Linked DNA regions of Kluyveromyces lactis. The protein of the gene in region 4 interacts with the protein of the main gene of each other region in a biochemical or structural test. Links are inferred from orthologs where the notes say so. Each region holds a gene or a part of one and is shown on either strand. Other genes may lie near its edges.

Region 1 (2,698 bases), on a different chromosome or scaffold from region 4:
TCGGAAATTGTATTTGTCACATAACGAGTCCTAGTGTAATTACGGCGAGTATTAATTGTCTTCTTGAGATGTCAGTATAATGCACAGAAGCAACTAGAAACAATGCTCGAGCGTACAAAGTCGATTGAGAGCCTACCTTAAAATCCCCAGCCACCAAATTATCTTGGTTTAGTCACCTTGACCGGGCCACTCTTTGGCAGATTAATACTTACGTTCTTTGTGAGAAATCACTGCGGCCGCAGGGTATTTCCAAATGTAAGAACCGTCCATATTTGCCGCAGTTGCTATTACCCGGATTTGTAGCTTGGGCGAAACGCACTCGGCTGGTACCATGTCTGTAGCTTGATGCAGTAATGTTTCGACAACTTAATCTGTCACGTGACAAGTGTCATTGTGTTTGACTGTAAGACGTAATTACGAAACTACATGAACTATGCTATAAGTAAAGACCAAAAGAATGTGCTATTTTATCCTTCAGATTCCATTACGCGGCGTTGCAATCATCGACCTAACCCTCTTACCAAATATAAAGTATCACCTTCCTGGATGGTGGCATTGACTCGCGCACTCGAGGGTAATAGATGCTGAGTAGAAGCATCACCTTTGTACAAAAATAACTTCTCATCTGTTGATATCGAATGGTCGATGTTTGAATTTTTCACGTTTAGCACAGATGCCAAGGAATCCAAAGCTCTTCCAATTGGCCACATCTTATTTATGAACACTTCATTCGCGATGGGTTTCTTATCCGAAGAGTCCGCCACCACGTAACACCATGCGTATATTCTATTTGCGACAGGGATAGAATCATCTCCCTTTGCAGTGCGCTTCATCTTAGTGACTTGTATTAGCTTATTGGCAGAAGAAAATTTGGTAGTAGATTTCTTACTCTCGAATAATTTACCGTTCTTGGCGAAAAAATGCCGTAGTTTATCGATAGCTACACGAGAACTGGAGGTTTTACTGTTGAAAAGCTTCGATTTTAGGTTATCTACCGGTGGTTTCGAGTTATCCTCTTGCATCATGGTCTTTATCCGATCTGGTGCTCTGGCAGGTAACAAAGATTGAAAGAAGCTACCACCATTGTCCTTCTTCGGAGTGACAGCAGCAGCAGCAGCAGCAGGAATACTAACTGTGACACTGCTGCGGCTATTCTTACCTATCTTCAGTGATTCACAGTGATGATCTTCCTTCAATCTATGGTTGGCACAAAAATCACCGTTGCAAGCAGAACAATGGAACGGTAGGAAATCAGTCTGTCGACAAAACGAACAGTGTGTGCCGACATCTAGCATACCAACTTCTTTAGTCATTGTTTATCAACTGTATTATTTCTTCTTTTAGCCCTTGATCAGTCTTGGTCCCGGACCTGGAGTTCTATAAAACACAAATAACACAAATCGATATCAAAGTGAGAAACTCATCCCAAGTGGCAAACAACCTGTGTATATTATCGGCCTTGCCAGGTGCTCTTTATATATATAAGCGATATGACAAATACGTCCCGCCATCCATATCATAGCCAGTGATGATCTCTGCCTTACTCATCTTCATTTTACACAAGTCTATGAGAGAATACTGTGGAAGATGCCAGCAAAATCACGTGACAAATGTATTTATAATATTCGGGTAACGAGTGTTCCTGTCTCAATGTGTCAATTACAGCTACTCTTAATAGTAACACAAACGGAGCTATTCCAATGGTCTTCTCTCCTATACAGTACATTCAGCCGAGGCTACAGGTTTATTCTTTACATAAATGTTGTTCTCCAGTGATCATGCTGGGTGTCTCCAGAAGTTTTTCCACTCGAGTTTCTAATCACCATGTAGAAACTGACATCTCTTCGAAAGGCTTGTCAGTCCCAATTGTAAAGAGTGTATATTCAGTTTCTACGAGAAGGGAAAACCACTTGGAAAATCCATCAGTTGGAATGGATAGCTGAGGTATTAATATTTTGCAATTTTTTGCATGTTCAAACTACCCACATAACGAGCATGGTATTTAAGGGAGCACAGTTCCAGCTGAAACAACTCGTAATAATAAGGATCTTAGTAATTCCTAGTTCCCCTTTCTTATATTTCAAATACTCCCTATATAATACCGACCAACTTCTGTCTGACAGCCGACAACAAAGTGGTCTACCGATTGCATATCACATCATTTTAACCACAGCGTATCCTTCACAAACCAGCGTAGAAACCAGTTTTCACCATTTTTTTCGTTTCTTTGAGCAGGTTAACATTATTGAAAAATCATATAACGTTTGATTTGAAAGAACTTTACGAAAGGAAAAGGACAGGGAAAATTCTAAGAACAGGTGTTGGTATATTCTGAAATAGAACGTCTAAGAAATCACTAAGTTTCCAACCAATTTAGGAAAGCTGAGCGACCATATTTGCATAGCGTGCTGGGAAAAGAAAAAGGTTAGCTGACGATATGGGTTTATGTGCCTCAAAGGATTCTCGGGAGTCGACTCACGATGGGGGTCCCAGAGTGAATCGTCCCGGTGCAAACGATGCTAACAGGCGGAATGATGTTAGGAAAGGAGCTGGTGACAAGAAGCAGGACAAGAAGAATAAAAAGGCTAAAGGTTCTATCGTAAATGCTGCTTCGAATATTAATAATAGCAGTAGTGGTAAGACCAAAATCAGTACTGTATCGGAAGACGGTACTGTAAGTAACGGCGTAGGTAATACT
Region 2 (4,035 bases), on a different chromosome or scaffold from region 4:
GAAAGGGGAAAAACGTATTATAGTTCACATTCCAGCCCATTTTCAAACTGGTCGTTAGGAAATACGTATGTTAGGGTGCACCCATTCTGGAAACGCTGCCTATATCTTTCGTGGACGGGAAGAGGATAAGGAACGTTTCATCTTAACTCCTGCCAGCTTCCGCTCATGGACAGTGTGTTTTTGGGTTCATCCGTAGGGGAATGGCACCACTTAGTGCTCTGGCGTGCGTTTTAATCCTGTTCAACATGCTTTTCAGTGGAAGGGTGTGAAAAGGGCCAAACATGCAATCGCCGCAGTAGATAAAACGTCGGATAAACCTTACATAGGAAGCTCAATGAATGGGAAAATATTATGCTCAGAATGGGAATTTTGCGTCAAGATGCGTGGGAAGTGGTGTGGTTTTTCCTACTGAGCTTTCTACTGAGTATTTCCAGCTGCTCATCTCGGAAAAACTAAGACAAAAAAAAGAAAATAGAAGACGTACAAAGTGCTTTGCGGAAAAACATTTTGTTTTTCTGCTGCGTGTTTGTCTTTGGTTTTTGGGTTCAGATTCGGATAAACAACCGTCGTTTATTGCATGCTTTCTATCGCTTCTACGGCAAACCTGTGCCCCTGGTATATGTGGCACCATACGTCTCCCAATAGACACCTTTCAATTTTCATAGCTTAGCGAGGGGTTGGATATCAACAACAATAACCGGACTGTTTATCTTTTTTTTATTGATCTACCGGTTCTTTTAGAACGATTACGTCCAACTGGTCAACGTTTTTGTCTTTGTATGGTGAAAATCTTGAAAAAAAATCCACTTAGAAAAAAAAAGGAAGCAGTCAAACATTTTTCCCCCTGGAACCATTTTTTGAAGCTTTACAAAAAGAGTAGTAGAAAATATGGGAAGAGGTTGAATATTACTGTGATTTGCTTGGTAACATTGGTTTCCCGTCGTGTCTGTGCGTGTGTGTATATCGGTCATTGTCTGATTTCAATAACTTATAAACAAAGTTAGGGAAAAATCGAGACTACGCGGACTCTGAACAGCGGAGGAGTTCTACACATCAATATACGGACACAAATGTACTTCTAGAAAGTACCTTGCTATAACAATAGTGTATCTATCAGATTCCAGCCCTTGTGTTATCAATAATCAGCTTGAGCATTTATTTTCCTTTTGTCCTTATCTGGTCATTGACGGAGACTTCAGAGTTCTGGACTGGTTTTACTCATAACTCCGAATGCCATGAACAATAAAGAGGAGGAGCAAGACGTAACTGCAAGTTTCAACAGAAATGAACCAGATATAGCATCCTCCTCGAGTGTTGGATATTCAGGGTATGGAGAATATTTTCATAATAAGGAACTTCAACAGTTGGAAAGTGATGTTCAATTCAGACAGAAATATCAAAAAGAACATCGAGTTTCAAATCCTACACTTTTTCAAGGGTGTACTATCTATGTGAATGGACGTACGAATCCAACTCGATTTCAACTCCATAAACTAATTATTTTACATGGTGGGACTTTCAAGCATTACCTTAGTGGGAAGACTGCAGTCACCCATATACTTGCAACAGAGTTAAATGCATCCAAGAAATCATCTTTTGCCAATTTCAAGGTTGTCAGCCCCGAATGGGTTACTGAGTCTATTGCTCGAGGGAAGCTTTTACCATGGCAAGACTTTAGAATTGTCCAAGTTTCCAGATTACAGGGAAAGATTACAGATTTCGCAACAGTACGGAACTGTATGGATCCGAACTTCATTAATGCTTTTTTCAAATCCTCAAGACTACACCATTTATCGAACTGGAAATTCCAGTTAAGAGATAACTTCGTGAAAGAATTCATTTTGTCATATAACGACACAATTCCTGATCAAAAATATGTGTATTTCCACATTGACTTTGATTGCTTCTTTGCCCAAGTGTCTGCTAAAATCGATGGTAAATACGATATACATGCCACACCTATCGCTATTTCTCATGGTATCAACAATTCTGATATATCCAGCTGCAATTATGTGGCTCGTTCTTTTGGTGTTTATAACGGTATGTGGGTATCATCTGCTTTGAAACTATGCCCGGACTTGAAAATATTAGATTATGAATTTGATGAATATGAAGCAATTTCAAATTTATTCTACAGCGCTCTAAAAGATATTGGAATCTTCAAAATGGTATTGCCAATTTCTATAGATGAAGCAATAGGTTGCATGTTGATTACCCCCGATATTACCTCTGAATTGTTAACTCAAAAATGCATGCAAGTGAGAAATGCCGTCTATAATGTTACTCAAGGATACTCTGTCAGTGTTGGGTGCGGGCCATCCGTATTGCTAGCTCGTTTAGCCCTAAGGAAAGGGAAACCAAACGGGTTCCATATTTCTTGGTTTGATACTGTTACTGAATGCCATGCATTCATAGATCACTTTAAGTTAAAAGATCTTCCTGGTATTGGTTATAGCACAGATCTGAAAATAAAAGAACAATTTGGAAATGTTCAAAACATCTCTGACTTAAGAGATCTTTTAGAAAGGCCAAGCAACGTTTCTAAACTAATAAAAGTGATTGGTTCCAAAAATACCAAGAAACTTCAGATTTACCTTGATGGTAAAGATGACGACGAATCCATAAGTATGGTAAAGGATCCTCATACGTACTTTCAAAAGAAATCCCTCTCAGTAGAAATAAATTATGCCATAAGGTTTAAGACCATAGACGATGTTGATATTTTCCTTGAACGGCTCGCACTCCATTTATGGGAAAAACTTAGGGATTCAAATTTAATGACAAGACAAATAACTTTGAAATTAATGAAGAGAGCTCAAGGCGCACCTGTAGATCCACCAAAATTCATGGGTATGGGTAAATGTGACGCTCTTAGTAAAGTCAGTAACTTAGGAACTAATACACAAAAATTTGGTACAATTGCTTCGGAATGTAAAACTTTATTTAGAATCTTAAGTGTTCCTCCAGAGGAAGTTAGAGGAATTGGTATTCAATTTCACAGGTTAACTGATTCGAACCAAAAAGTGGGGCAAAAGTCGGAACAAAGGGAAATTACGACTGATTTATTTAGAAAACGAGACCATCCGGATGATGACATCACTAACGAACCCTCCAAAGTAGCCGAGCCACATACTCCAGTTAACCCAACATATACTTCTCCCGTAAAAAACTATTGGGATCGCCATCTAAAGCGAAGTATCACCCCATTTCAATATGACTTTCCTGACCAACTCGATCCTGAATTTATGTCCAATTTACCCAAAGATGTTCAAGAAGAGATTACATCTCATCATAAGGTTGTTAAAAAAGCCAATCGTTCTTTGAGAACAAAATTGTACGATGATCCCAGAAAGCAAATTAAGCAGACGCAAGATTTACACTTCATACACGATGGGAGGCTTGTTCCGCAGCTTTCGTTCCAGGGATTAAGTTCTGCGAAACAGATTTCTGAAACTCTTATCGACTGGGTGGACGCCACAGTGGAGGATGGCCCCCATGAAAAAGATCTTGAGTTATTCACTAGCTATCTTGATAAGTTAGCGGAGCAAGGCAGATGTCATATTATACTACATTTGATTAAAACCATAAAAAATAGGGTTGATGATCACTACAACGCGAATCATGAAGGTTTAGAGCAATGGGAATACTTCTTGATTCGTCGACTAATTCCTATATTAAATAAAGCAAAACCTGATGTGAAGTTCAACTTAGTGTTTGATTTATAATTGAATATCCATCTAATACTTGTTGGGATGAAAGCATGCATGATCATTGCGCCCAATTTTTTTAATTAGTAATTACTCTTTCCATGCACTCATTTGTTTATTAATTATTCATCTTTCGACACAACGTAAGTATAATAGTAGAGTACAATCTAATTGTCTTTTTCTTTACCTAAAATATATATATTAATTAGAAAATGTTTGTCTATGGCTTCATAAGTTGCATAATCAAGTCTAATGGTGATCGACAAGATTTTAGTCCAATTTTACCCAGTATCTTAAACGGTCAAGACACGTAGAGTGTTGGAGTTAC
Region 3 (3,346 bases), on a different chromosome or scaffold from region 4:
GCCAAACTTGTAAATTGTACCCCAATGTGTATATGGAGAAGGTCAGGGGAGATATGCTTTGCTTCTAATGAATTTATATCCCTTACCGGGTTCAACAAAAAGGAGATTTTAAACAAACGAAAGTTTATCATGGAATTCATGGACAATGAAAGCATAGTAGATTACTATGATATATTCCATGAGTATTTGGCATTTGGTTCAACTCAAAGTGGGCCCTTCAATTCATCGACCGGAACTTCTGATGGTCAGGCTATTTTTAGCGAATGTAACCTTTTGTTAAAGAATGGATGCTATCTACGGTGTGCATGTATTTGGACAGTTAAAAGAGATGCATTTAATATTCCAATGTTAATAATGGGCCAGTTCTTACCAATTTTCGATATTGAATGATAGTCGAATTGTTCCAACCGTAACGCTTGCTCGATATGTAACTATATATAAATTTTCCAACACATTTATTTATTGATTATGGAAACATCGGCGGTCCGGGCAGACAAATTTCACAAAATTGCCAAAATGCTATCTTGAAGTGATGGTCTATCATCAATACCTACTTGGACACGATGAACTTCATTTGATACCTTTTTAGGAGCAGATTCTTTTTCTTCCTCAGCGTTTGCTATGTATACAGGTTTCTTAAACTCCGACTGCGCCTTGTTATAATCCCAAACATTGTTTGTTAACTTGGAACTCTCCTTCTGTTTTTGTTGATTTATCTCTAACTTCAAATTCTTGATATCTTCCAAGTCTTGGAGATCTTCTTCATCGCTAATATCATCTATTTCATCATCACTAGTTGCATTCGTTTTTTTGCTGCTCTTTCTAACTGCTTCTGTCATAACAACTTTACCATCCTTACCGATCGTCAAGTCCAAGACGACCTTTTCACGCCTTCCATTGCGTTCATTCTCAATCTTTTCCCATTTTCGTAAATTTCTTTGCTGTTTCTTTAGTTGTAATGCTCTTTCGTAAGCAGAACCCCACATGACATCTTCATTCATAGCGAAATCACTAGCATTGTCAATGATCTTGGTTCTTTCAGCACTGGTATCCTGGAAATGAAGTAGCTTGTCGAGTCGATTTCGTGCTTCAATAAGTTGTTCATCCTCCTCTTCTTCCTTTGACTCCCCATTCAATATTTGTTGTCGTTTAATCTCTCTCTCTTGTTCCCGATCTTTCTCCACTCTTTGTAGCATTTTCTCTTGTTCTTGCCATAAATTTGTGCCTGCACCAGATTTAATCTTATATTTCTTGGTTTGCTTCGGCTTGGGCTTGTTCTCTTCAACTTTCTGAAGCTCTATTTGTTCTCTCTCTAACCGTAGCAATTCTAAGATTTGTTCGCGTTCCTTAGCTGGGATTAATTCAGCTCCGCAAAAGCTGCAATTGTTCATATGCAAACCTTCTTTGACACATATTATTTTGCCACATGACAGACAGTTTGGTGCAGGATCGAATATTGGGTGCCTTGTTCCCTGGCAATTGCATTTATATTGACCGGAATCCCCAGAGACTGACCTCATCTCCAACATCTTTAACACATCATCGATATCCTTCAATGAATCTAATCTGACTTCTTTACTCTCTTTCCCCGAATCCTTTTTCACAGCCTTGGCAGTCGGTACCTTTTTTAATTCTCTATTCAATATCGGTTTCGTTGCTTGAATAGACTTGTTGGCGAACTCGGCCCTGGAATCATTGGTTTTCACAGTATTAATCAATGGAGATATCACTTTTTTAGTATTGGTTGTTTCGTTCACTATTGGTTTCTTGACAGCCGTTTTACGGGGCAATTCCATGAGCCTCTCATTGAACTCAAATATGAAATGTACCGATGAGTCGTCTTGCCCTAAAAGATCAAAAAAGGATTGGGCTATCTGTTCAGGGTTGTTGCCTTCTTTTATCGTCTGTTCACATAGATCTTTGATCTGTTCTGTATCTAGTGGCAAAATGTTGGGCAATTCCTTTATAGCATACTCAATAGCATCCTCTTTCGTCATTGTGACTGTTTTGGCAATATTATTCCAGTGCTATGTATATCCTTTTACTGTGTTGTTTGGATACGAGTAGTTACTTTCTCAGTTGCTAAGGCTCATCTCTCAATATTAGACTTTTTCACTTTAAAAGATGAGAGTTCTCAAGTTATGAAAGAAAAGGTGGAACCGATCAGCCAACAAGAGGTCTATTGTAACAATTGGGTGGCTGTCCAGGTGATCTCATGAAGAATCATAGACTCGAGAACTTGGATCGAAAGTAGCAGCTTCGGAAGCTTTACTGTCAAATGGTTGTTAACGTCACATTATCTTGGACTGACAGACATTAATACCCGAACCTTTCTATAACTATATATAAATCTAAACGGTATAGTTACTGCTGGTGCCACAGCCCAGAAGCTGGGTACTACTCTAAGTAACCGAAGTTCCTGGATATTGACACTTATTAAGCAGTGCAGTGAGTAGGACGAGCTGCATGGGCAAGATGAGCAGTATATTGCTTATAAGTTCGACTCAAAAGATCCCACTTGGATGAACAGATTTACATTTCATATAAACTGATTCTCGACTAGGCAATATACACCATGAAGGGCCCCAAATATCTGCAACATGCTTGTCTGGTCAACGATATCTTACCTGGTAAAACCCTAAATCAATTATAATAGTAGAGACGTATGTCCGGGTAATCTTTCCGATCAATAGTATAAAAGTGGCAAATTTTTCAACACTTTGAACCTCTTTCAAACACTCTTACAGTTCAAAGATTGGAAAATCTTTTTGATGTTTGTTCTTAATAAACCAATCATCAGTAGTGGTTAGTACTATCTCAAGATAATATTAATACACATATACACCATAGAAACCTACGGTTTCGGTTATCTCTTTTCTCAAGAAGTTTTTCCTAGGTTTCTTCGGAGATCTAGGAACGGCTTTAGTTAATACTGGAGAAGAGTGACTGTTACCATTTTTTAACCCATAGCTGAATGGATCCTGACTAGCCCCAAACAAGCTGGCCACAGTTTCCATTTCGTTTCCGGTTTCTTAGATCAATAAAGTTGGAAGCGCATTGAGTTGGGAGGGGAAGTCTCTTCCTTTTCCCGGTTTTTTGCATCACTTCTTTCTTTTAACCATTATGAAGAGGTCTGGAAAGTGATGATTAGAAGCGGTTTAACAGCTCGCTCTAGTTGTTCTTCCAGGTGTTGCATGTGATCCAGAGGGCTTTGCGTAATGGCTGCCTGAGAGTTTGGATTTTCACTCTCCGTTGTGCCCTTCTTCATGATGGAACAGTTTTCCCATCTTCTAGAGAATTTTTGTATTAATTAGTTGTAGACATAAATCAGCTTCATCAACCACTG
Region 4 (3,120 bases):
TCCTCAAATGATGTATCTCACATTTTCATTGATATCTGGAAATATGGCCACGCTCTATGCAACAAGAAAGAAGTTATTGAAAGTGTCAAGATAAAGCTGATAAGGTATGGTGGGCTATTGAAAGAAAAGTTCCCCCACACCAATACCATGGTCGACTTTGGCATTTTGGAGATTCTTAGAGTGGATGACTCCTCAGTATTGAAAGCTGAAGCTTTAAATATTGGAATATCTCAGTAGAAATTGCCAACGGATGATATATTACTATCTTCTACTATTTATAACATTATCATAGTTGTTATGTATCTCTGAAAATGTATATAATATATACAAGACCCTAAACTTTTTATCCAAAGAATGTAAGGAAAAAAAAAAAATGCAAAAAAAAAAAAAATTGAATTGAGTATAAATGATACAACGGCTTTGCGTGGTCTCAAGCTCGTTAATAAACTCCCTATCGAGTTTCACTCCAGTAATCGGAAATATGAAATAAATCTTTACCATTAGATGCCACCTCTTAATCTCAAGACAAGATGTAAAGTGGATTCCTTTTGGATGTTATAGTCAGACAAGGTTCTGCCATCTTCCAACTGCTTACCTGCAAAAATTAATCTTTGTTGGTCTGGAGGAATACCTTCTTTGTCTTGAATCTTAGACTTGACGTTATCGATGGTGTCGGAAGATTCGACTTCCAAAGTGATGGTCTTACCAGTCAAGGTTTTGACGAAAATTTGCATACCACCTCTTAATCTCAAGACAAGATGTAAAGTGGATTCCTTTTGGATGTTATAGTCAGACAAGGTTCTGCCATCTTCCAACTGCTTACCTGCAAAAATTAATCTTTGTTGGTCTGGAGGGATACCTTCTTTGTCTTGAATCTTAGACTTGACGTTATCGATGGTGTCGGAAGATTCGACTTCCAAAGTGATGGTCTTACCGGTTAAGGTTTTGACGAAAATTTGCATACCACCTCTTAATCTCAAAACAAGATGCAAAGTGGATTCTTTTTGGATGTTGTAATCGGACAAGGTTCTGCCATCTTCCAACTGCTTACCTGCAAAAATTAATCTTTGTTGGTCTGGAGGGATACCTTCTTTGTCTTGAATCTTAGACTTGACGTTATCGATGGTGTCGGAAGATTCGACTTCCAAAGTGATGGTCTTACCGGTTAAGGTTTTGACGAAAATTTGCATACCACCTCTTAATCTCAAAACAAGATGCAAAGTGGATTCTTTTTGGATGTTGTAATCGGACAAGGTTCTGCCATCTTCCAACTGCTTACCTGCAAAAATTAATCTTTGTTGGTCTGGAGGGATACCTTCTTTGTCTTGAATCTTAGACTTGACGTTATCGATGGTGTCGGAAGATTCGACTTCCAAAGTGATGGTCTTACCAGTCAAGGTTTTGACGAAAATTTGCATACCACCTCTTAATCTCAAGACAAGATGTAAAGTGGATTCCTTTTGGATGTTATAGTCAGACAAGGTTCTGCCATCTTCCAACTGCTTACCTGCAAAAATTAATCTTTGTTGGTCTGGAGGGATACCTTCTTTGTCTTGAATCTTCGATTTCACGTTATCGATGGTGTCAGAAGATTCAACTTCCAAAGTGATAGTCTTACCAGTTAAAGTCTTAACGAAAATTTGCATGTTTTCTCTTGATCTAGTTTTAAGGGGAATGAGAGGGGGGGGGGTAAATAATTTGGGGTGAAATAGTATAACCTTGAGTCAGTATCTTCTATGAGAGAAACTCTTGATGCTCCTTCTTAACCAATATGATGTTGTTAATAATATCAGGAAACAAACTGCCAAAATAACCCTTTTGTTTTTATATATACTCCCTTTTTTTTTTAAAAAAAAAGGAACTTGTTCGCTTATTTCTTTTATTTTATCTCCCTATCAGTTCTTACTAATAACGGAGAATATAGCACAAAAAATGAAAATAAGAACAATAATGATAGCTGCTATGCTGTCCAAACTTTCAGAATAGATATATGAATGCGATATAGGTAGTAATAGTATCTAACCCGAATAATATCTTAGAAAAAGATAAACGTATTTAGAGAATAAACGGGGGAAAGAACAATCAGAAGTGGCAAATACGAGAGAAAAAAAGGCGGCCGCCCAAGTGATCACTATTTATATAAAAGCATCCAGTGTAATCAGTTTCGCTCGGCCTAAGGTGGCCGTTTGAAAAGAAAAATTTCCCGAGAGGGAATTCGATGGAAAACCGGCAGTTTGGAATCTGTTACGTTGCAGCCATCTCTGTATTTCAGCCTTGTATCTTTAACTGTTTGCAATGAATCTTTTCTCCGGCTTACAGATCGCCATGACTTGAGGTTTATGATTGCATGACGAAGAGCGGGGATATATGGAATGAACTGCTAACTTTGATTGTTCAGAGTAAAGAGCATACCGCTTTGTATCCACTGATACCTTCTGCAGTACAGTGTGTATATGCAGAGGTAACCATGGAAACTCATGGAACAATGAAGTTTATCCTTTTTTTTTAGACTTGCGGGGAGAATCTAAGATACAGACAGACGAAAAAAGTGACTCGAAGTCATCCACGTGATTAAATCAGGGTAACATACATCATATTTTATCTGCCTGGCTTCTCCTAAATTCATTCTTGACCTTTCAGATGCTCCCGGAACATACCCAGGCCAAATATCTCTGTCATTGAGGTTCCTGGCGGGATAATTCGGACTGCCCAGAATCTCTTCGATATTACTTGTCTTATAGTCCTAGATGACACTTTTTTTTCGACTCTTTTTATGATAGCGGTGTTCTTAACGCCTTTGTCGTATACTCAGGTGACACTTTCCATCATATTGAGCTGTATGGTCTTTCTCCATTCAGCATCCGAGGAAAGGGACTTCATTAAGTAAGGAGTCCAAGAAGTTCTCTGATAGGCATGTAGGCTGCCGTAGGCGATTGAGCGGCATTTAATTTAGTCGAATTTAGAAGAAAATGCAACAATTTCTGTACTTTTTTCTCGTATCGATAGTGAAAAGGGGAGACAGCACAAACAAAAACAGGAATTTTTTTTTAGGCAAAAGTAAATAGTACAACTACTAATGGGGTTACATTTGCATTATATCAGTTAGCTTTAAGTATTGAT

Evidence for each region.
Region 1: the proteins of UBI4 (region 4) and CUZ1 form a complex in vitro, tested with the Saccharomyces cerevisiae proteins (2 studies listed by BioGRID). The link is inferred for Kluyveromyces lactis from reciprocal best matches to the Saccharomyces cerevisiae genes UBI4 and CUZ1.
Region 2: the proteins of UBI4 (region 4) and REV1 are reported together in a solved structure, tested with the Saccharomyces cerevisiae proteins (2 studies listed by BioGRID, with this or other methods). The link is inferred for Kluyveromyces lactis from reciprocal best matches to the Saccharomyces cerevisiae genes UBI4 and REV1.
Region 3: the proteins of UBI4 (region 4) and RQT4 form a complex in vitro, tested with the Saccharomyces cerevisiae proteins (2 studies listed by BioGRID). The link is inferred for Kluyveromyces lactis from reciprocal best matches to the Saccharomyces cerevisiae genes UBI4 and RQT4.

Annotation. Positions count from the first base shown.
Region 1 is NC_006040.1:935,478-938,175, reverse strand, and holds CUZ1 (Cuz1p), read right to left. Parts: upstream 1,314-2,698; coding exon 501-1,313; downstream 1-500. Other genes in the region: GPA2 (guanine nucleotide-binding protein subunit alpha), read left to right, coding at 2,438-2,698. UniProt on the Saccharomyces cerevisiae protein: Promotes efficient arsenite-induced clearance of stress granules (SGs). May have a role in the ubiquitin-proteasome system (UPS) protecting cells from metalloid-induced proteotoxicity.
Region 2 is NC_006042.1:2,180,751-2,184,785, forward strand, and holds REV1 (deoxycytidyl transferase), read left to right. Parts: upstream 1-1,235; coding exon 1,236-3,725; downstream 3,726-4,035. Other genes in the region: pyruvate kinase PYK2, read right to left, coding at 4,001-4,035. UniProt on the Saccharomyces cerevisiae protein: Deoxycytidyl transferase involved in DNA repair. Transfers a dCMP residue from dCTP to the 3'-end of a DNA primer in a template-dependent reaction.
Region 3 is NC_006042.1:1,284,802-1,288,147, reverse strand, and holds RQT4 (Rqt4p), read right to left. Parts: upstream 1,998-3,346; coding exon 501-1,997; downstream 1-500. Other genes in the region: GSM1 (Gsm1p), read left to right, coding at 1-390.
Region 4 is NC_006041.1:74,448-77,567, forward strand, and holds UBI4 (ubiquitin), read right to left. Parts: upstream 1,647-3,120; coding exon 501-1,646; downstream 1-500. Other genes in the region: ECM29 (Ecm29p), read left to right, coding at 1-237. UniProt on the Saccharomyces cerevisiae protein: Ubiquitin exists either covalently attached to another protein, or free (unanchored).